Caenorhabditis elegans: one gene and its partners. The protein of the gene in region 1 interacts with the protein of each later gene in a pairwise test. Each region holds a gene or a part of one and is shown in the gene's direction. Other genes may lie near its edges.

Evidence for each region.
Region 2: the proteins of ubql-1 (region 1) and lin-2 interact in a two-hybrid assay, tested with the Caenorhabditis elegans proteins (2 studies listed by BioGRID).
Region 3: the proteins of ubql-1 (region 1) and itsn-1 interact in a two-hybrid assay, tested with the Caenorhabditis elegans proteins (3 studies listed by BioGRID).

The regions. Positions count from the first base shown.
Region 1 is NC_003279.8:7,019,407-7,028,540, forward strand, and holds the start of ubql-1 (Ubiquilin), read left to right. Parts: upstream 1-2,575; coding exon 2,576-2,668; intron 2,669-2,790; coding exon 2,791-2,896; intron 2,897-2,941; coding exon 2,942-3,249; intron 3,250-3,357; coding exon 3,358-3,486; intron 3,487-4,050; coding exon 4,051-4,294; intron 4,295-4,620; coding exon 4,621-4,760; intron 4,761-4,805; coding exon 4,806-4,889; intron 4,890-4,935; coding exon 4,936-5,048; intron 5,049-5,095; coding exon 5,096-5,161; intron 5,162-5,205; coding exon 5,206-5,266; coding exon of another isoform or gene 5,267-5,287; exon of another isoform or gene 5,288-5,317; intron 5,318-9,134. Other genes in the region: pdi-3 (Protein disulfide-isomerase), read right to left, coding at 1,151-1,381. UniProt on the Caenorhabditis elegans protein: May play a role in the ER-associated protein degradation pathway (ERAD) possibly via its interaction with ER-localized proteins ubxn-4 and cdc-48.1 and/or cdc48.2, providing a link between the polyubiquitinated ERAD substrates and the proteasome.
Region 2 is NC_003284.9:12,410,291-12,416,367, reverse strand, and holds the start of lin-2 (Protein lin-2), read left to right. Parts: upstream 1-2,326; 5' UTR 2,327-2,342; coding exon 2,343-2,416; intron 2,417-2,467; coding exon 2,468-2,580; intron 2,581-3,382; coding exon 3,383-3,566; intron 3,567-4,855; coding exon 4,856-4,951; intron 4,952-4,998; coding exon 4,999-5,081; intron 5,082-5,129; coding exon 5,130-5,305; intron 5,306-5,780; coding exon 5,781-5,876; intron 5,877-6,077. UniProt on the Caenorhabditis elegans protein: May play a structural role in the induction of the vulva. May be required for the localization of signal transduction molecules (such as let-23 receptor) to either the basal membrane domain or the cell junctions.
Region 3 is NC_003282.8:17,117,635-17,126,615, forward strand, and holds itsn-1 (Intersectin-1), read left to right. Parts: upstream 1-2,047; 5' UTR 2,048-2,049; coding exon 2,050-2,199; intron 2,200-2,250; coding exon 2,251-2,835; intron 2,836-3,318; coding exon 3,319-3,780; intron 3,781-3,927; coding exon 3,928-4,152; intron 4,153-4,192; coding exon 4,193-4,829; intron 4,830-5,610; coding exon 5,611-5,981; intron 5,982-6,567; coding exon 6,568-6,884; intron 6,885-7,784; coding exon 7,785-8,301; 3' UTR 8,302-8,635; downstream 8,636-8,981. Other genes in the region: uaf-2 (Splicing factor U2AF 35 kDa subunit), read right to left, coding at 431-765, 817-909.

The DNA.
Region 1 (9,134 bases):
GTGTTTTCACGGGAACGGGACGTCCCGTTGTCCCGTTTTTAAAATTATCACGGGAACGGGACGTCCCGCTGTCCCGTTTTTGAGCGTTTTCACGGGAACGGGATGTCCCGTTGTCCCGTTTTTTGGGTGTTTTCGCGGGAACGGGACATCCCACTGTCCCGTTTTTGTAATTTTTACGGGACACTGACACCCTTGGTGACCATCCCTAACTACTTGTTTTCTAACGATAACATGCGTTGCTAATTTTAGAATCACGAAATTACAACGAAGTCGGTCAAATGAAGTTTTATGGCCTCTTTTCATTGAAAAAACTCCGGAAAATGTGTCAGAGCCGTACAACGCAAGGAGGTGGATCTTATATTTTCTCGAAAACTTGAGCGTGACGCCCATTTTTCTGGGTCTTTGCGGCAAGCTCCGCCTTTTTTCGGATAACACTGGGAAAGAGATTTCGAGAATTTTACAAAGATACACGTGAAAAGAAGAGGAATTGTTTGCCAAAAGGAACACCGTAAAATGTTTAATTGAAAAAGTCTGTCAATTACTGCTTCAAAAATTTCAAACATATACTATTCTCTATGGCAATGCACATGTGATAGATCGTTTTCGAGATAATATTGAATTTACTGTTTCAAAACTGAGAATTCTTAAAGGGGGGCTGGATTCCTATTACTAAACCGTGGTTCAAATCTTTGTTTCTTTTTTTTTACAATCTTCAACTTCAAAAACATAATCTTTTGTTTCATTTACTACCATATCGCACTCGTTTGTGGTATAGATAAAACTGTTTGCTACGCGACTGGTGTTTTTGCTCTTATCGTTAATTGATGTCCGTATTCTGTAGAGTAAAGACCTGACAACAAACAGTGATTTGATGCGTGGGAAAATGTAAATGTCGAGCCGATCTCATTGTCAATGGCCTTTTGAATACACAATAACCATTTTGGACCAGCATACATAATATATATGACGGACAAATGTTTCTATATGCATAAGGACTAGAACAATAAATTCAAAGAATCCTTTGTATGCATTTCATATATTTCTATTCAATGTGGCTTTCGTTGCTGTTTTATCAGCTTTCGCGTATTTGTCAGTGTCACTGCGATCGATATATGAGCGATGGCTGTGTAAATAAGTATGGTTATCTTACCTTGACGAGAGCGACTGGTGGATCGTTAGATGCGAGTTTTGGGGCAGCTCTCTCATACTCTGGGGCAATTTTCTTGCAGTGTCCGCACCAGGGAGCGTAGAACTTGACAAGAGCAATGTCGTGGGTTTGGATGAGATCATCGAAGTTTCCGTCGGTATACTCGAGAACGGCTCCTCCAGCACTGGCGAACGCCAGGAAGGAGGCGACCAAAGCTGCCTGGACCCAAATCATTACCTAAAAACTTTACCTATAAACGACAATCGATCGAGTGAGTTTAGAGGGCGAGAGATTATCGGGAACACCGACAAAAAGTTAAAAACTAAGAAACAAGATTAGAGGTTTTCAGATTATTCAGAAATATTTTCTAGAAATTGAGCGAACGATTGAAGAGAAGGGAAGGTGTTTTCGCAATTAACAAACCGCGATCGCATCGAAAACGTGAGCCGCTTGACGCGAAACGTGTTTTCGTGGCGAGATACCGCGAGCGGTAAAATCAATGCGCCTTTACTTTATTTATTTTTTTTTCGCATTTATTTTCATTCTTTTCTGTGAATCACATGTGAATGGACAAATACAGATTGTTTCGGGTTCAATTTTAAGTATTTACAAACACTTTTCAAAAATTATCTTTAATAAGTGGAAAATACAGTTAGTAAATAACTATAAATTTTAAGCTTAGAAGAAGAAAGCCAAAAAACATGTGTTGTATGGAGGAGAAATTTTATATAGACTCGGGGAGCGTTATATCACTTTTAATGATATTATTACTAATAATCCAGAAAATGCAGAGCAGAAGCATAAAAATAGACCCGAATTGTTAAGGTCCACGTGGCGCTCGTGTGTACACCAGGGATTGGTAGGAACTGAGCCAAAAACACGTCGTTCACTGCCTGTCGCACGCGTGTTGTGTGCCGATTGGCCTCATTCTTGTGAGAACTCCGCCCAATGGGTCTCGCACGGAAGAGGCGACCATCATGTGTCGATTTACGCAACTACCGCATCATTTTATTGATCATTGTTTTTTATTCATTTTATGACCTGATATAGAAGGAATCGACGTTAAATTGGAAGGCAAATTGATTGGAGCGCCATTTAGAACTTTAATTTCTTATTTTTATTGTAAATTTGAATCGATAAAAGGAACAAAAAGATCACCATGGAAACCAAATTAGTCATCACGTGCATATTGAAGCTCGCGCGTCAGGAAGAATTGTGTCTTCGTTTATCTTCGTTTATTTTCTATCGAAGAGACCCATTACATTATTACATTATTCGGTCTGAAATAGTTGCGAAATTTCTTTTTGCGCTTCGAGAATATTCTCGATTTATCGATGCAACGTGTTCTTTTCCGTCTCCGCCTCTCATTCTCTCAATCCTTTTTCTTTATTTAATTTTGTCGGTTTTTTAATATTTCTCAAATTTAAGATGGCTACAGAGAGTGCACTCATCAAAGTTCACGTGAAATCACCGTCGAACAAGTATGACGTTGAGATTGCTGCGGATGCATCAGTTTCAGAAGTATGTTATATTTTATTTAAAAAATAAAATTTTGCTCTTGAGAATTAGATAAAAATTCAAGTGATTATTCCATTTTGATAAATTAAATGTGTAAATCACAGTGTTTAATTAATATTTTACAGCTAAAAGACAAGGTTCTTGTGTTCGTTCCAACTGCGAACAAAGAACAAGTTTGTATAATTTACACCGGAAAAATTCTGAAGGATGAAGAAACTCTCACACAGCACAGTAAGTTGAAAAATGTGTTCCAAAAAATAATAAACAAAAATTTAGAAATCGCTGATGGTCACACCGTCCACTTGGTTATTAGAAATCAAGCCCGTCCAACACCAGCGCCGGCTGCTGCAACACCAACAGCTTCATCTGCACCAAGTTCCAATCCAACACCTTCTTCACAACCGAATCCTACCAATAATCCATTTGCAGCAATGGGAGGAATGGGATCACCTGCTGATATTTTAAACAATCCAGATGCTATGCGTTCAGTTATGGATAATCCAATTACACAACAACTTCTAGGAAATCCAGAGTTTATGAGAACAATTATTCAATCCAACCCACAATTCCAAGCATTGATTGAGGTTCGAGTTTTTCCTGGATATTTGTTTTGTAAATTTTCGGATTCGAAAAATTATTTAATTTTTTAATCTTCCACATTTCTCTCGTATATCGACAATAAATATTTTCAGAGAAATCCAGAAGTTGGACACATTCTCAACGATCCGAATGTAATGCGTCAAACTATGGAGATGATTCGTAATCCAAATATGTTCCAAGAAATGATGCGGAATCATGATCAAGCTATTAGGAATCTTCAGGTACATTATATATAGCTATGCTGATCAAGGGATGCCATTTTTCAATTTTTCAATGTTTTCAGCGAAAATCGAAACATCGAAGAAAAAAAGTCCAGAAAATTATCAATAAAATTTGATTTTTATCAAGTTGTGTGACACACAACTTGTGTCATATATGTTGGTGACAAAAAACATACGAAGACATTTTAATGTTATCTAACAATTGTCTAAAAAAAAGAAAAATTACCAAAATTTAATACCATTTTTTAAAAATTGAAAAAGTCGGTTTTTTCTCTCTAAAATCGAAAAACGAAAAATTCTGATTTTTCAGTTTTAGTTTTAAAAAATCGATCAAGGATGCCGATCTAAATGTCTAAATATGACTATTAAAAGTAATTAATTGTTATTTTAATTGATATGGCAAAAAATTGCTAATTTTTTTTTAATATCAGGGGTACATTTCTGGAAACTATATATTCCATCCCAGCCGCGCTACAGGGGTTTTTGTCTTGAATTCCAATTTCAACAGATTTTCCTTTTTTTCGGTTGGATTTGTTATTTTATGTTGAAACATTCAATTTTCAGGGAATTCCCGGAGGAGAAGCTGCTCTTGAACGGTTGTACAATGATGTACAGGAGCCCTTGCTCAATAGTGCAACAAATTCGCTCAGTGGAAATCCATTTGCTTCTCTAAGAGGTGATCAGAGCAGTGAGCCACGTGTCGATCGTGCTGGACAAGAAAATAATGAAGCTCTGCCAAATCCATGGGCTTCAAACGCCAATCAAGCTACCAATAATCAATCGAATAATCGTTCTGCTGACTTTAATTGTAAGTTTTTCTGAGTCAAATTTCTCTAAGTAAAAAAAAATCTTACATTAAAATCATATAATAATCAATGACGAGTGGCAAATGCCAAATATCAATTTGCCGAAAAAATTAAAAAATTGTAAATGTGAAAAAAGATTTTCAGCAATGTATTTTTGAACATTTTCCTTAAAAAATTTCCAACAAAAATTTCAAAACGACAAATTTCCAATTCGCCCAATTTTACGTCTGCCGCCCACCATTTATTATAATTTTAAACAAAATATTTAAACGTCACGAATATCCTCATAGTTTAGTGATCCGTTAATAATGTTTTAATTCATATTCAGCATTGCTTGATTCACCTGGCATCAGCTCCCTAATGGAGCAGATGATGTCCAATCCAAGTATGCAGGCCAGTATGTTCAGCCCAGAAGTCATCAATTCAATTCGTCAAAATATGTCAAACAATCCTGGACTCATTGATTCCGTTAGTTTCATTTTTAAAAAATTTAAAATAATTATGTAAGTTCAGATTGTTGGACAAATTCCATCGGCTCGTGATAACCCACAGATTTCCGAAGGAATTCGTAGAAGTTTTCCACAAATGCTCAACATGGTTTATTTTCTAAATTTTTACAAAAATTTATATTTCAAAATTTCAGATGTCTGATCCATCTGTGATGGAGGCAATGAGAAACCCACGGGTCAGTGAAGCATTCCGTCAAATTCAAGAGGGATTTTCAACTCTTCGCAGAGAAGCACCTCAACTTTTGAAGTATTTGAAAATACCATTTAGTCAAAAACTATTTAAAATTATTTTAGCCTTTTCCAAGCTGGAGCAATGGGAGGTGGAGCATTCGGTTCTGATGCCAATGCATCTTCTGCTGGGTTCGTTGATAGTTTTTATAGCTGATAGTTTTTTCTCATTTCAGAGCAAACTCTGCAAACGGACTTGCCGATTTATTCAATTCAATGAATATGGGAGGAGGAAGAGTGAGTATATTGAATATTTGATTTCTTATGTCACTTCTTATGGGAGCAGAGGTGATTATTTTCAAGTTCGGCCTTCTCGAATTGTCTAGAAAAAAAAATATTCAGAGTGAAATAACGAGATAATAAGATTTTATGAACTGAAAAAGAGAAAATTTCTATTTAAAAAGCTAAAAAAAAAGCATTACTACTGTAGAAATCAGTTTTTCTTATTTTTTATTCATTGCAAAATTTGAAAACTCGACAATAGCCTATTTTTGGATTGTGAATTTATCGAAGTGGTAAAATTTTTTTAATCGGCAATTGCCAAAACTTTCTATTGTCTGTATGATAGTTATTGAAACATCATGGGTTCAAAGAACTTTTTCAGCTAATTGAACTATTTTAAGCTTTCCTTTCTAATTCAATCGACAGATCGATTTAGAATAATATCACCGAATCCAATAATTTCCCATAGTATAGTTTTTTTTATACTTCCCTCTCGATTCCGTGGTCTTTTGAATTTTCCAAATTGAAATGAAAATTTGGATGATTAGTTGAAGCCTCACATCAAATGAAGTTCCCCCTTCATTTCATATATCAAAGTTTTTGCTCAAATTTAGAAGCTGATGAGTTGCGCCGAGTCGCCGTTTGCTCTGTGACAGCGACGGAAGTGCGCGAGCAAGAAAGAAGAAGTCATCGTGTGTCTGTTCTGAATAATGTAACAAGACGATGCTCCGTCTTCTGCTTCTTCTGTGCCGTCGTCGCTGAGCAGAAGCAAAAGTCGGCTCGTTTGACATGCTATGGATAAATGTTAGATAATGAGTATAAAGTGACGAAGACGATGGCAAACTGATGACAGCGTGCACGATCGAAAATCTTTTCCTGTTTGCTCAGAAAATGCAATTATCATATCGAATTTCATTTAGACCCCGGTGGCGTATCTAAAATTGTTTCGAAATTCTGATGTCTCGGCCCTTTCTACAGACAGAATATACTCTTAGAAAAGAGAAGTGTGGGAGATTTATCATGAGTTCCCCCAGTGAAAGAGGAAGGCCCCTCATTTCCTTGTCTTTTAATTTTTGATGATTGTTAGACGAAACAATTTGAATTGGAAACAAAAGCAATAATTTCTGCATTTTTCGTTTTCATCACTTGACATAGGAAGTGTGAAAGGCGGGCATCTTATCCATACGAATAGATCAGATTTTTTAATTTTCGTCGACGTTGCACTACTGGACCGAATGCTCTCGCATCACACAACACATTGTTGGCACATACATGTTATATGTCATTTTACATTTTCGATTAATTTTGTTCAATACCAAAACGTGGATGAGTGTGTGTATGTATGTGCATTGCCCACATAAAATGATATTAGTAGGCGCACATAAAAACGTTGATCGACAAAGGCTCGTCTCTTCACATAAATATTACACATTTCACAGCAAAAAAAACTATGTTCAATAATCAGATCTTTTTTGGGATGAGAGGGCAACACAAAAGCTGAAAGGAAACTTTCTTATCACAGAACCTTCAATTTTAGTAGATGTGATCTTCACTACATTAGGGGTTATTTGTACGCACAATGCCAAATTTTCGGAAAGTTGAGCTTTTTGTAAAGTTTAGAGCATTATTCCATGTTCGACACCCTAAAATGTTTTAATACAAAAAATTAAATTATAATACTTGAATAATTGCCTATTTTCGGTCGAATTCCAAAATTAAAATAGGTGGTATCTAGGTAGTTGCCAATTTCGACTGCAAATTAGGAAACTTGATTTTTCGAGAAGTTTTACTACGATATCTGATCTATATTTCTTTTTTCTTCGGCCCCTTTAATAAGCAAATCAGTGTTGCTCTTTTTGCTTCCCGCAATTGTTAGGAGCACATGTTTTGTGGCATATTTAGGATGCGCGACGACGTATTTGCACACACACACACACACACATTCCACGGATCGGATGTCACTATAATCTCATCTTGTAAGCGGTTACGCTGCTATCAAATTTATCCCGTATGTTTCAAGCAATTGGCCACAACATTTGTTCTCCCCCTTTTTGTTATAACTGCTGCTGCAGCTTTTGTCTCATTAGATGATTGTTTTGACGACATTTGCATAGATCATAGTAAACGATGTGTCTCCAGGAATATTGTGTAATGGAATAGTGCGCGAGGTTGGTGCGCATGATGAGAGCAGATAGGAAAAAGGACGGCGACGTTCCCCTTTTATTCATTCAACAATTGTCTAATCGGCGATTGTGTGGAACACGCGCCGTGCCATACACGTATTTCATTTCATAAAGAGGCAGCTGGCGAACATCTTCCGGTCTTCTCGTTTCCCGCCTTTTTTGTTAAGATGAGCCGATGCAAATGATATTCGAAGTGATTAGTAGTGGAGTCTATTAGGAGCCGACGTCCGAAACGATGGGATGATCTGTTCAGTGGCAAAACACTTAGTGTCTTTTGAATAGGCATTCGATTGGTTTTCTTGTTCTTACAATAGACAGATGGCTGGTTGCATGGGAAACAGTTCTTTCGAACACCTGTATCAAACCTGTGATATAGTTATTTTATAGTAGAACATCGCTTCTCTTGCTCAGATCATATTGAAACCTTGATTTTTGCATTAAGGATAAACAATAAATTCAAATATCTAAAATTGTTTCTCCTTTAAAGTAGTTCCCTTAAAATTACGATAGCTAAATCCGAAACATAGTCCAATCATTTCTTCTCATTAATTAGTATGTTGATGGAATTGTAGGGACATGTGTAGAGAGTGGAGGACACGTTGTATCACTTAATGCATGTTGTCGAACTCGTCAAAGTATGGTGTAATGCATAAATCGAATGAACGGAAAGATGCGGTAGTGCTGGTCACAATAGGAAGAAGAACAAGAGGGGTCCCATGCAAAAACACATATGACGCGTCGATTCGTCCAACTGCTCCTCTTCCTGTCTCTGTTATTATTGAGAACAACACACTCATAGATATAAATGCACAGATACTCGTTGTTCGCGCACTCATTTGTTTCGAAACATGACAAGCAAAATGCGTTTTTAGAAGATAAACATCGTAGCACTGACTCGTAATATGTAATGAACAATTAAGAAGCAGCTCTACGCATGCTATGTGCATTTCCCTCATGTTTTCAAAATTGCCTATTCTCAGAGGAAATGTTAATTTGTGTCTGTGTGGGTATGTATGTGCATCATTTCAATCAAGTGCTCCGCTCTCCTATAGACCATATTTTTTGTTTCTTGGGAATAGATTTTGGAATGATTGCCTTCCAAATACAAAGATGGATGGATTTGGAATTGAGCCTCTAGCACAACAATAATTGAGTTTTCAAAGTTTTCATGTGACCACTAAAGTTTTAAAAACGAAACCCAATACTTTTTTAGGAGATTCCCCAGAAGCTATAAATTAAAAGAAGTCTAAAATAATCTAAAATTCATATAATCAATTTTGACATTTTCTCAATTACTGTAAGACTCCTAAGTTCATATGATCCCTTGTGGAGGCAATGTCAAAACCGATATATGTGCGTGTCAAATCTTCAATATTGAGACAGCCGCATCGCTCTGAGTGATTAGTGCTAGTAACCGAAATATGAAGAAGCGGTGTGATGTCTCTTTATCTCCTGCTCTCCCTCAGGTGTTGAGATGATGGTGGTAGTGGTAGCCAACTGTTGCTCTTCGCAAAGCGCTGAGCTCTTTTGTTGTGAATACACGTCGCAATCATCAAATGACACATTAATCATATCTTGGAGAATGAGTCGGTCGATAAAAGAGAGAAATGTACCTTCGATCAAATCGCAACTCTTTTAGTTCCTCCCAGCTCCCAGACCGCTGATCGGCGACTATGATTGATTGATTAACCCACAAATGA
Region 2 (6,077 bases), on another chromosome or scaffold:
TCAAGGCTTTATTTCCAAATACTCTAGTTTCATTTAGTTTTATTCATTTAAGTAAGATCCCAGGAATTAGAAATGAAGCCGGATTTGAGAAAGTAATCTTTCACTTTCCTCTTTTCACCTAGAAAACAAAAAAGTTCATTTTCAAAAAAAATCAGCCCCTAAAATTGTAACAAAAAATGCCAACAACTTACCGGAAGCCAAAAAATTGGTGCTCTTCCACAATTCTTTCTTCTTCCTCTCACTTTCCATCGACTCCATCAAGACGGAGCTGTATCATCCAATGAATTGTTTTGCATCGTCCGTGCATCATAGAAACAGGTGTTCATCGTGTTTATCTTGCAAACTCACCCAACCGACACTCATAAAACTGTGTATCTCTGGAGACTGGGAGAGATAACATCCACTTTCTACTCTTTGTCGAGCCTCTTTCATCCAGTTTTTTTCCGGTGTCAAAAAAAACTTCATATTTTCTTTTTTTTCATATTTATTCGTTTTTTCTTTCTGCTTTGAGATTTTGTCATATCTTACAAATCCAAGAAAAAAAAAAGAAAAATGTAATATCTTTCCTTCATCCCTTCCTTTTTATGTAGTTATTTATGTCTTCTTCTTTAATTAAATTTGTTTTTTCTTCTTATTTCCCATTATTTTGCTAACACCTTATTTGTTGAATATTCGATGGAGAGACTAATAATTGAACATTTTTGCATCCCAATTTTTCACAAAGCTAATATTTCGCGGTTTTTGATAGTTGTTTAAGACTGGGATGTATAGTTGGTGTTTCAATTTTGTCTACTCAGTTTTTTTTTCAATTTAAAATTGTTTTTGAAACAAAAACGTAAAAACCATTACATAAAAGTTTATAAGTAATTTAAAAGTTCCATTAAAAACAAAAAATAACCATGGTATAATCAGAGTATACATATATTGGGCATTTCAGAAGCAATAACTTCCAAATAACTTCAATGTGAACTGGAATATATGTAGTGACAAAATGCGAAATACTTAAATTGTGTAAGAGTTTAGTGTATACAGATTAAAATAAACTGACAAACTAAAAAAAAATTATAAAAGTATATATATATATGTCAAAAATTTGAGACTAGTAGTAACCTTAACAGTAAACATATTTTCAGCATGTTTTTGGTATAGCTCTGCACAAAATGGTAGTTTTATGAAATTATTGTGCTCAATGTTATTTCCTTGAAATAAATCTCGATTATTTTTTGAATAGTTACACTTTTTGGTTGAAGTTATTGCACCAAATGGAAATGAATTTTTCAAAAAGTTTTAAGTAGACGTATGAAACGGAAATAAAAAGAGTATGCAGAAAAAGATGCAAACCGAAATTGTTTGAAAAAAAAAACTTTAAAAAATGGCTTTGTTAGCCTTAAAGGAGTTATTGTTTTGAGCATTAGAATTAGATCCCAAGTCATTTGAGAACGTAGGAAAATCAAAATGTAGGTTTCTCTATGTAATTGATCGTAGTAAAACCCATGCACGTAATTGCTTCTATTACATTACATTACGATTTTCATATCAAATAATTTTTTTTCAGCATCTCTCAAACTTAAAGTTTAGTGTTTTGAAAAGATTTCAAATCTGTTTACTGTTTTTGTTACAAATACATCTGGCTAACCCGCCAACTTTGAATAAACACGATACTATTCCGGCAAATTCAGGAATGTTTGCTAAATGACAAATACAGCCGCGTTTCAATAGGAAACTAGAGGTGGAAAAGATGAAAAGTGTCCATATTTGTCTTGATTTCCTCTGCCATGCCGCAATCAAACTTTCTTTCACATAGTTGTTCTGCTTCAATAATTTAAGATTGGATGGTTTGATTTTGCATTTTGCAGAAAATATTATGTTATAAACAAGAAAAAATCCTAAGTTTAACGATTTCCGTCCCCCACGCACTCAAGTTCATTAAAATTAATGACGTAATGCTTACCTCTTTTTATAAGACCGCAACATGAGATTTTCCATCAGACAAGTACCACCTCAAATCCTCAATTTTTTAGTTCTCGAAAGAATGTTGCGGGGTTGATAAAACATGAATCTCTCTTGCAATCATTTATTGACATTATATCTCCTCCTAACGATCAAATCAAATTGGCCGAAAGAAAACGCGTAGAGCCCCCCCCCCCCCCCCCGCCGCCGACCCAAAAAACTGCCATTTTCTCTCCAGTCTCTCTATTTCAATATTCATGCGAGCCTGATATGCTTTTTCAATTTAATAATCATTCACTGTCCCTATGAGTTTTTTTCTGGTTATCTCTTTTTTTTCTTCAACTTTATCATTTGTTTATTCACGTTTATCAGCATTTTTCAGCTAAAACAGAATGAGGGAGCTTGACCCGGACGAGTCGAACCTTCTCCTCGATGAACAACTGTCGATCCGGGATGTGATAGAACAGTAAGATTTTTGAAAATTCAGTTAATTCTTGAAATAACTAAGAATTTCCAGAGGTCCATTTTCAAATGTATACCGAATACTTCATGGACCATCAAATCGAAAATTTTTACTGAGATCAATCAATTTGAATTTGTTCAGACAGCACACCGGGTTAGGATTTGAAGGTACAATTATTGTTATACAGTTGTTACATGGGGTACGACTACATGTAGTAGTCGTATTCCAAAAAAATTCTACGCACCTACTAAAATGATTTGTTCAATTCAAAAGTTGAAGCAGTGTACTTTTGTAGTAGCTGTAGTTGCTCTACTATACAAGTATCAAAAATAGTTTTCTCCCATTTTGATAAAGTCTTTTTTTAATTTTGGTTTTTTGTCTTTACAAAAATTGATAGGTTTTTGTAATGTTAATCGATCTAGTGATGAACTAATATCTTTCGAAAGGAGGCTCAAATGCAGTTAAAAAAAAGTTAATTAGAATAAAAATATCCAATTTCATTGGTTTTCATCCAAATACCATTGAGACCGTTAAAGAAAAGTTTCAACATTTTAAAAACAGGAAGTCATCGTTTCAACACACTGTCTCACAAAAGACTGAATTATTAGTTTTTGATGTTTTTTTTCGAATTGAACAAATTCAGGTGGTTAATACACTTTTTTTTTAAAGTTATGTTTTGACCTTTATTGTGGATTTTGAAGAATAAAAAATTTCTCAAAAAACAACCTGAGTGCACTTTTAAAAATTGAGAAAAAAAAAGTCCCCGCAGCGGATATTATTATTCTCGCCACCAGTTTTCCAATCAGAAGCGCACAAAATGTCCTCAAAGTTCTCATCTCATGAGCTCAGCAGCTCCAATCCCAATTCATCAATCAATCTATCAGCCATCATGTGTCATTTCGAACTTTGATCATTTTACCGAATCCGATCTAAATATAATTATTTCATTCCAAACCATCTCTTTTTCAGAAATCGACGAGGAAATTAGAATATGCCAAAATCTACAGCACCCTTACATATGCCGACTGGAAAAAACTATCAACAGCGTTCATTATCGACATATCATTTTTGAGAACATGGAGGGAAATGATATTTGTTTTGAAATAGTTCAAAGAGCAAGTAATGGATTCGTATTTTCTGAATATGTAGTAAGGTTTGTATTTTTACAATATAGACTGTGTGTCACGGCGTGTAAATTGGGACATCTGGCCTAGCGAAAAGTGAAAAGTGAGAATCCTAGGCCATGGCCGCTGCAAAGCGCGCGAAATTTGAATTTAAATTTTTAATATCATTGAAATTCGATGAATGAGACATTATAATGGATAAAACTGCAAAAATATATACAAAATTGTTTTTAAAATGGATAAATCACATATAACAACGATTATTTTCCTAAATAAAAGTGGAAATTCGATTTATTAGGCAATTATTAGGAAAATTCGACAAAAATGGCACATTTTTGAACTTTTTTCAAAAACTAGATCCACAAATTTTCTGAAATTTCACCAGATTACTCAGTAGACTACTTTAATCAAATTGTGTGCAAAAAATTCATACCCACCGTCACAAGTTCCTATTGAATTTTTCTATTTTAGCTCCGAAAACCACTAAAATTCGACAAAAATGGCACATTTTTGAACTTTTTTCAAAAACTAGATCCACAAATTTTCTGAAATTTCACCAGATTACTCAGTAGACTACTTTAATCAAATTGTGTGCAAAAAATTCATACCCACCGTCACAAGTTCCTATTGAATTTTTCTATTTTAGCTCCGAAAACCACTAAAATTCGACAAAAATGGCACATTTTTGAACTTTTTTCAAAAACTATGCCCACAAAGTTTTTGAAACTTCACCAGTTTACTCGGTAGAGCATTTCAAACAAATTATGTGCATAAAAACCATACCCACCGTCACAAGTTCACATTGAATTTTTCAATTTTAGCTCGGAAATTCACAAAAAATCAGTGAAATTGGCACCAATTTGAAATTTTTTCAAAAACTAGATTCACAAAGGTTTTGAAACTTCACCAATTGACTAAATGAAGGTTTTTGAACAATTTAAGTACATAAAATGTATACCCACCATCACAAGTTTACACTTAAAATTGCTGTTCATTAATGCAGTTCTTCAAACTGCCTTGTTTCGTTTTCTGCGTAGTTCACTTTTTTTTGTATTTGAATTTAATGTAATTTTAGTGTTTCTTTTATTCTTTTCCAAAAAGATAATGCATTTTTTGCTTGAATTCAAGGATATTTTCATATAAAACGAAACCGGGAAGTATTAATTGCTAAAATTTATGTGGACTACGGTAGTCAAGTCCGCAAACACCACGCGCATTTTCATAATTGCGTACATTTGTTTTTCAAGCTTTTTTCTAGGCCAGAGGTACCAATTTACACGCCGTGTGTGTGTAAAAATAATTAGCATAAATTTTTCAGTCACTATACACGGCAGCTCCTAGATGCTCTAGATTACTGTCACACTAGGAAAATTGTTCATAGAGATGTACGGCCTCACAATTTAGTATTAGCGTCGTAAGTTAATTAATATAGAAAAACAACAGTTCAATGTGAACTTTCAGAAAAGATACTTCAGCTCCACTGAAACTGTGTGGATTTGGAGTTGCAAAAGATTTGTCTGAAATTGGTGGTTCAATGGCTTGTGGTATGACTCGTTTTTCAAATGTGCATTCATATAATTTCGAATTTGAAGGTCGAGTAGGTGTACCGCAATTCATGGCTCCAGAGATAGTGCGAAAAGATCGAGTGTCATGCTCGTCGGATATCTGGTCTTCCGGTGTCGTCCTTTTTCTCTTGCTAGCTGGACGATTACCTTTCTCCGGGTCTACTTCCGATATCTATGAAAGGATCATGCAAACAGATGTAGATGTGAGGTTTTTTCGAATAATTTTTCTGGTTGCGCAAGAGAATCGGTTAAAAGCAAAAAAATCGATACAACATAGTTTTTTACATACCAATTAACATTTTTATGGGCCTAGAAAACCTGAATCCTGAATAAGTATTCTATAAAACTTGAAAAACGTATTCCTTCTGGTTTTGCTCCCGTGGTATTTCTGTGAGTATCAGCAAAATATAAGTCACATAAATTTTCTGGTTCAAAAGTGTGTAATTAATTTTTAAAAAAAGGTAGGGGGTCCTTATTATATAATTGCGCTTAAAAATGACATGGTTCAAGAATTTCTGTTGGTTTTTATATGCTATAAAACTGTTTCTGATTAAAGCAAGCTTTTATAAATACTTTTATAAAGCAATATCTAAATTATAGTCTAATTTATGGTTCACAAATCCACAATTTTTTAATCATTCGCAACTACATTCCAACTTTACAATATTCATTTTCCAGGTTGACGGATATATGCCAAATATTTCTGAAAGTGCACGGAACCTTGTGAGAAGAATGCTCAACGCGGACCCTTCAAAACGAATCAGTGCAAAAGAAGTAGGTGTCAGTTTGATGTCCCTCAATTTTTCCCCTACCACTAACACCACACGCAATGTTTCTTTTTTACACACCTTGGTTTGTTATTTTAGCAAAGAGGTGTCTTGAGAAGAAACTAATCAGTTTGGGAGATCTGTGACGTGCAATAAAAGAGCTCCCCCCTCCCCCAATTGCCTCCGTATCCGTTCGAGGAAGGCTCAT
Region 3 (8,981 bases), on another chromosome or scaffold:
ATGACCGCGACGCAACTGGCATGCGGAGCGGCTCAAAAAAATTTATATTTTGCCCCAGATTTAGTGATTTTTCCATCATTTTTGCAGTTGACATGAAAAAAGATGGAAAATCACGATTTCTGGTCAAAAAATTAAATGTTTTGAGCCGCCCCGCTCGCCAGCTGCGTCGCGGTCCATTTTAACGAAATGGCCGACGGGAGCGGCTCAGAATTTGTGATTTCTCATCATTTTCGCAGATTTCTTGCACAAATTTCCAGCTAAATTAGCAAAAATGATACGGGCTAGCTCGCCAAAGTGCTCAGATGGCCCCTGTGCCAGGTATATCTCCATTTCAATGCCCTTCCGATGGGCAAAGTACAGTGGCACGTTCTCTTCACAGCACTTGAGCTCAGCTTGAGCCCTATCAACACAGCAGCTTCAGCTTACGCACCATCGATTATTCAAATCATTCTTTGCTTTCTCGGCGTCCTCTTCCTTCATAAATTTGACGTATACGTTTCCGACCATGTGTTCTCCGATATTCTCACAAACGTTGATCTCCTCCACTTCTCCATATTTTCGCTCCATCTCCACAAAAACCTCCTCGTAGAAATCGTCAAAATAGCGCTGTTCCTGATCATTCCGCTTGCCGACTTTATCGAAAGCATCCGCCTGACGGACATCCACTACCGGATTGTGGTAGAAGTTTTTGAGCACAACTGTTGGCGAGAATGTCGGTGTATGATGGGCTCTGGAGCATTTGTCTCCGTGGCGGCAGGCTCCTGTCTGCAAAAATTATTTAATTATTGAATTTTTTCACAGAAATCCACAACAAACCTTGAAGAAAAACGAGCAATTGACTTTATCCTTCTCAGTACCATAGATTGAGGCCAGGTACTCGGCTCCGGAGAGCCCGTCACCATACGACATTGGGATTCACTAAAAAAAATGATTTTTGACGAAAAATTCAATTTCAGCGGGAAAACCCTGAGAATTACGATTTTTAAACACAAATTCTGACGGAAATACTTCAGAATACAACGTAAAACTCAAAATATCAAGAATTCAATGCAAAAAACAAACTGCGAACCTGAAACAGATAGAAAATGGAAATAATAACCAACTGCCCTGCTAAATTCGAAAACGCAACGAGGCACGCTTTTGTGGGCGGGGCGAGCGTCGGCAAGGTGAGCGCGCGCGTTTTTCTAGCGTTTTCTCTATTTTTCTTTTTTTCTCCCATGACCAGAGATTAATAAATAAGTTGAAATTTAAGTGAATTTCTCTTCAATTTTCCGCGATTATACCGATTAATTCATGCACCAAGGCTGAAAGAACATTTAAAAATCAATTGGAGCTCAAAATTATTTGGAGAAAACTCAAGAATACGAGATTTTTCACTCTAAAACTAAAATTTGTTCTTAAAATGCAAAGTTTTAAATGAAAAAAAAAACATTGATTTTTTTAAATATATAAAAAAGGGGTTTTTGATTCCTTTAAAATTCTCTGCGTCTCTTGCATCTCTCGCCGCGCGCTCTCGGGGACCACTCCTCTTTTGGGGCACGCAAAAATCGATAAGCTTTCGGCGGCGCTTGGCCTCTTTCTTATTTCTTCTTATTTCTCAGTTCCTGAATCCAAATTTACAGAAATTTCGGCGCATTTTCTCTTTTTGTTGCGAAATTCGCATTTTTAGCGTTTTTAATCGAAAAACCCCCAATTGACAAATCCGTGGGAAGTTTACATAGAAATTTCCAGCTAAATTAGGGAAAAATCACGAATTTTAGCCAAAAAATTACATTTTATTGAGCCGCCTCGCTCGCCGGCCGCGCCGCGCCGCGGCCAATTTTTACAGAAATGGCCGAGAGGGAACCTAGGCCACGGCCACGACCGCGACGCAGCTGGCGAGCGGAGCGGCTCAAAAAAATCTATTGTTTGCCCAAAAACATGTGTTTTTTCATCATTTTCGCTGATTCTTCGCATAAATTTCCAGTTAAATTAGAAAAATATGGCTCGTTTTTTCCCTTTTTTGTTGCGAAATTCCCATTTTTTGTCGAAAAATCCCCTGTTCTCCAGATGACAAATCCTTGGGAAGTTTCCGATGCCGAATATCAGAAGAATTTCGCAATGTTCGGCCAATTAACCGGAGGACAACCGTTTATGGATGCGGTCACTGCACGAAATGCACTAATGCGCAGCAATCTGCCAACGCAAGTGCTTTCTCAGGTTGATATTAAACTTTAAAAAAAAAAATGTTTTTATTCAAACAATTTCCAGATCTGGGCGCTGTCAGACTTGGATAAAGACGGCCGGCTCGATATTCGTGAATACTCTATCGCGATGCGACTTGCTCTGAATTGTCTTGCCGGAATTCCGATTCCTCCGCAACTTCCGCCTTCCCTGCTGGTAGTTCCCGCCAGAAATGCTCCACCAACCTGGCCTGGAAGCCGGCATGGCAGTGTAGACTACTCACAAACTCTTCCACCGGCCATTGATCGTCGAATGTCGCAGTCATACATCCCATCTGCACCGGTTTCGATTGCCGGAACTCCATCTAGCAGACACAACTCGATTTCAGCTGGAAGCCCTTTGAATAATGATCGCAATGTCTTCGAAGGCCGGCAGCTGGAAAACTGGGCGATTCCTCACCACAATAAATTAAAATATTCTCAATTGTTTAATGCTCTCGACAAGGAACGTCTGGGCTCCCTGAGCTCACAAGTCGGACGGAGTGCTCTCGGGCTTTCAGGCCTTCCTACCAATGTTCTCGCGCATATCTGGTTTTTGTCAGATGTGAATAAGGATGGAAAGCTATCAGTGGATGAGTATGCGATTTCTCAGTATATGATTGAAATGTTCAAAGTATGTGTTTTGTTACCGGCCAGAAGCTCTTTATTCAAAAATTGCACTTTTTCCATGAAAATCCAACTTTTCTGATCTAAAATTGATATAAAAATGTAGAAAAAGGTTCTTTCCATCTGAAAATATTGTATTTTTCATGTTTTTTCAACAAAAATAAGGAATATTTTCAATTTTATTTGTCAAAAACTTGGAATTTCAAAATAAAAAGTCAAGCCACGTGGACGCTCCTCCCACTTTGCAACATGCGGCGCGAGTTTTCGCAACACTGCCGCACGGTTGTATTTTCTTCACGAATTATAGTTTTTCAGTGAATTTTACAGGATTTTTCAACGTTTTGCTTGTTTTTTTCAGCAAAATTTCATGTTAAAACGCTGAAAAATCTCAAAATTTCAAATTTTTCTGTACGAAAATCGGAAAATACCCTAAAATCATGAAACACCATAAAAATTTCCGCTGAAAAACTTAAAAAAATTTTTTTTTCAGAGTGGATTCGCGCTTCCAAAAATAACCCCGCTGGAACTTGTCCGGATGTGCGGAATCTCATCAAGATCAGCCAACAATACCCCTGAACTCGAACCAGGAGCGGAGCCACCACAAAAGTCACCAGCTCCGAAAACTTTTGAAGATAAGCGACAGGATAACCTATCTAAAGGTCAGGCAGAACTGGAGAGACGACGTAGAGTTCTTGAAGAAGAGGAGCAACGAAGACGAGCAGAAGTAGAGAAGAAAGAGAGAGAAGAAGAAGCGAAGAAAAATAGAGAAAGACAAGAAAAGGAACGACAGGCTGAAGTTGAGCGGCAAGCTGAACTAGAAAGACAGAGAATAATTGAAGCTCAACGGGAGGAAGAGGAGAAGAAGCGGAGGCTAGAGATGGAGAGACGCAGAGAGGAGGACGAGAAAATGAGAAAAGTTCAAATGGAGAAGGCGAAAGTTAAACAGATGCAGGTACAGATGCCTGAACAGAAAAAATGGAATTTTTATGTGGATTCTAGGCGATTTTTTGAGTTTTTCTTTTGAAAATTGAACTTTTGGAACACAGAAATTTTATTTACTCATGATAAAAAAAAACCAAATTTAAATCCCTAATTTCAGAACCAGAAGCAACAAGAGAACGAGCGTCTTGCACAACGTCAGCAACGAGAAAAAACGCTGCAATTTCAATTACAAGCACTTGATGAGAAGGTTATCGATGTTGAAGTGGACATTGGAAAAGCCAAAGAAGCAGTAGCAGAAGTGACTGGATTTATTGAGAGAATGAGATCTACGAGAGACGAGAAAGTCGCGAGAATTAAAGAATTACAAGAGACTAATCAGAAGGTAATACGCGTTTAATCTATATGCAAATTACCCAAAAAAGTTCCAGACAGCTATCGAATCTCAAGAACTCGGCCATCAGCTTCTACAAAAACAGTCGGCTCACAAGGAGACAACGCAGAGAAAAAGTGAACTAGAAGCACTGCGAAGGAAACGAGATGCTATTCGAAAAGCTATAGAAGATGCCGCTCTGGAATTATCCACAGAAAAAGAGAAATCGTATAATCAGACGGAGATTTTAAAGACGAATAAGGAAAAGTATAAGACTGATGTTTATTCGAAACTTGTCGCAAAACGAGAAGAATATCGAAATTCGTTTGAGCTTCTGGTTCATGCTCAGACACATGCCAGGAGCAAAATTGGGGAATTTGAAGCGAAATCTGCTCCAGCTTCAGCTGCTCCAGCTCCTGCTCCTGCTCCAGCTCCTACTACCACCAACGGATTCCCTGCAAACTTCAACGATGCATTCGGAGAATTCGATAAAACCGATGCAAGTCAACGTTTCGACGCGGATTTCGGTGCCACGTCGACAGCGGATCCATTTGCTCAGATTGCTCAGGCGCCAGCTCATTCGAAGGGTGCTGTTGATCAATCGGCGTTCAATATTCATGACACTTATAAGTGTCGAGCTCTTTTTGCGTTTGAAGCAAGATCCGAGGATGAGCTCAGTTTTGAACCAGGTGCTGTCCGAACAGCAATATGTCCCTTTAAATGGCCTTTTGTTGTGTAGATTTACGAGCTTCTCCGGAAAAAGCTCGAAATTTCGGAATTCGTAGGAGAAAAAGTTTGGCATAAAATTCAGGAATTTTTAAATTTTTCCAAAAAAAAATCTGAAAAATTGCAAAATTCCACTAAAATCAAGGAATTTATCTAAAATTTTTAAGAGTTTTTCCAGAAAAAAAGCCAAAAAAAAAGAAAATTTCAATTTTTTTATTCTTATCTCTCATTTAAAATGACTTATTTAATATTTTTGAAATAGTTGCATGGAAAACAAATTAAATGCATAAAAGATGTGAAAAATTTCAGAAAATTTGAATTTTTTCGAAAAAAAAAACTGAAAAATTGCAAAATTCCACTAAAATCAAGGAATTTTACTCAAAAATTCTCAAACTGAGCTGAAAATGATTCCAAAAATTTTGAAATTTGTAGGAGAAAACGTCCAAAATTCAGGAATTTTTAAATTTTTACGAAAAATTATTGGAAAAAAGAACTATTTTTCCGCAGTTTTTTCAAAAAAATTTTGAAATTTTTCAAAAAGTTTGGATTTTTTCGTTTTTGGCAACAAAAAAAACCATCACTAATCAATGTTTACCTAAAAACCCCGTTTTTGTGAAAAAAAAACCCTTTTTTTCCCAAAAAATACCAATTTTTGTCAGAAAAAACTTAACAAAAAGTGTCATTTTTGACAAAAAAAAGGCAAAAATTCGAGAAAAAGTTAATTTTTATTTATTTTTCTTCTAGGAGACGTCATAATCGTCTTCCAATCCCATGCAGCTGAACCAGGATGGCGTGCCGGTCAACTTCGTGAGAAAGTCGGATGGTTCCCAGAAGCATTCGTCGAAGCAATCGCAGCAGTACCTACTCCAGGCGGTGATCCACCTATTCAGAATATGCCACCAAACATGACGCCGAGCTCATCAGTAGATCAAATTGGAGTGAAAGCGGCGCGGAAAGCGGAAATCGCAGCGGCAATGGGATTGACAGAAGGTGGTGCTCCACCTGCTTCAAGTGCTCCAGCAGCAGCAGCAGTAATATCTCAATGTATTGCACAATTCCAATGGAGAGCACGTAATGAGGAGGATTTGTCATTTGCAAAAGGAGATACAATTGAGGTGGAGAGCATTTTGCTGCGAAAAATCCAAAAATTGTCTGAAATTCTTGAGCTTGAACCTGAAAAAAATGAGATTTTACAAGTTTTCCGGCAGAAAATTTGAAAAATTTGAAGTTTTAAGCCAATTCTTAGGAGTTTTCAGCCTATTTTCCTGCAAAAACAGCTTGAAAATGTGATTTTGACGAATTTTTGAAAAAAAAATTGGATTTTCGGTGAAAAAATCGATTTTTAATCTATCTTTCAGCTAAATTGTATGATTTATAAAATAACCTTTTTTCCCAAAAAAAACCATTTTCCCCATAATAACTCTTTTTTCTAAAAAAAAACCTGTTTTCTACCAAAAAAAAACCCATTTTTATCAACAAAGGAACCCAAATTTTCAACAAAAAAAACCTTTTTTACCCCAAAAAAACCTATTTTTCAGCAAAAAAATGAGCGTGGTTTCTGGGGAATTTTTCCAAAAATTTGAAAAAAAATTTAGGATTTTATTCCCATTTCTTCTTTTCACGATTTTTCTTGAATTTCAGACTATTTTTTTTAGATTTTTGAAGGTACACCTTAACTCGAACTAATAACATTAATTTCAGGTACTAGAAAAGCAAGAAATGAAATGGAAAGGTCGAAATCCTGCCGGCGAAATTGGATGGTTCCCGAAAAGTTATGTGAAAGAAGTCGGAGCAACCACCAGCACCACGACTCCGATTGTGTCTCCTTCGAAGGCTTCTGCAGGAGCTCCAGGAGCAGCAGCAGGAGCTCAATACGACGTGGTACCTTCCGATGTGACATTACAAGCCTCCGAAACAGCCCCCCAACAACAACTTTACACTGTGATCTACGATTTTGAAGCTGTCGAGACAACAGATTTGGCACTGCATGTCGGTGACACAATTCTAGTGCTCGAGAAGTAAGTGGAGAGAGGAGCTCTCGCTGCTCTTGACAGGAGCTCATTTGGAATTGAATTTTTTCATTTTTTTGATAGCTTTTCGTATTCTTGCGCTATTATTATTATGCTTAAACGAAAGGTTTCGGGGTATCAATTTATTACATTTTGAACCAAATAAGCCCAAAATTTTTAAAATAATTGTTTCCAATTTTGCAAGGAAAACCCTATTTTTGGCAAAGTAACCTCAAAAAACTATTTCTTGTCCAAAAAAACCTTTTTTTTTTCAAAAAAGTCTAATTTTTGTCAGAAAAAAATCCAAAAATGTGTCGTTTTGCCAAAAACACCAAAAAAATTCCATTTTTGCAACAAAAACAGCTAAAAAATACATTTTTCCCCAGAAAAAAAATCATAAAACTCAGTTTTGCCAAAAAAAAAAACCAAACACGCGTCATGTTTACCAATAAAACTTTTTTTGTTTTAAACCGATTTTTTCAGAAAAAATCCAAAAGTGTCATTTTTAACATTAAAAAAACCTAAAAAGCTATTTTTTCAAAAAAGGCACAATTTTTCTTACTTTTGCCAAAAATGTGTCATTTTCGTCAAAAAAAACCCTGAAAAAAAAACAATTTCCAAAAAACACAATTTTTACCGAAAAAAAATTAAATTTAAAAACCAAAAAAAGCATATTTTCTCAAAAAAATTAATTTCTCCACAAAATTAAAAAAAAGCCCGACAAAATCCAATTTTTGCAAAAAAAAACCGAAATACTCTTTTTTTTCCAAAAAAACTTCATATTAAAAAAAACCCCAAAAACCCAAAAAACTTGTTTTTTAGCCAAAAAAAAATTACTTAAAAACTGAAAAACTGACACCAAAACAAAAATATCAATTTTCAGTGATTTAAATCAAAAAATAATTTCAGAAACGATGAATGGTGGAAAGGGCGTTGCAACGGACGTGAGGGTATCTTCCCAGCCAACTATGTCGAGATATCAGTCCAGCAGGCAGGGGATCCGACTCCACCAACTCAAGCTCCAACTCCAGCGGCTCCACCAACCGTCCTCTGTGAAGCTAAAGTTGTCGTGGATTTTGTTGCATCGGCGCCAAATCAATTGGGAATCAAAGTTGGCGAAATTGTGAAAATTCGTGAAAAATCAGCAGCCGGCTGGTGGGAAGGCGAGCTGATTCGAAATGGAAAACCAATCGCCGGATGGTTTCCTGGAGAATATGTAAAAGTTTTGGAAGAAGCCGCTTCTCCTGCCACTCGAGCCACTGCAGTATACGATTATGAAGCTTCTCAGCCAGATGAGCTGGGATTCAAGACTGGAGATGTTATAATTGTCACTGATAAATCTGAAGCTGAATGGTGGAGTGGACATCGAGAACAAGATCCTTCGAAATCTGGACTTTTCCCATCGAATTATGTTCAGCAGCAATAATTATTTTTAATTTTAGTGTTTTTTGTCGAATTTGCATAATTTTTTATTTATTTTCCATGTACCATAGATTGCCTATTTCACTTGAGTATTCTCCCGCATAATTTATTGATTTCTTGATTCATTGCTCGACACGTGGTGTCAGAGTGTCCCATATTGGTTTGATCTATCTAGAGATCTACGAGAATCGCGCGGGAATTTGAATTTTTTTGACGGCAAAAAATTCCCGCAAAAAACAAATTTTTTTGTAGATCAAACAGTTATGGGACAGCCTGACACTCTATTTAATGCATCCACTTGATTTTTTGAAACTAAACTTAATAAATATTAGTAGAAATAACAATTTTATGGATTAAAACAATCTGTAAAAAATGAAGCGAGATAGGAAAATTAATAAAAAGGGAGAAAAAACCTAAAGGAAAATATAGGCAGGATGTAGGTGACTAGGCAGGCAGGCGGAAATTTTGAAAAATACGAGCTTTTGAGGAAATTTAAAGAAATGTCGCATGTTTCGACCCCTACAATGTTTTAATACAAATCATTTATACAAAATTAAAACATAAAAAATGTCGAAATACAATTTTTTTTGGTCGACTTCCAAAATTATGAGTGGCAAAAAATGAATAATTGCCACTTTTTGACAGTAAATAAAAATGTTTTTAAAGTTTTATCATGATATTTGG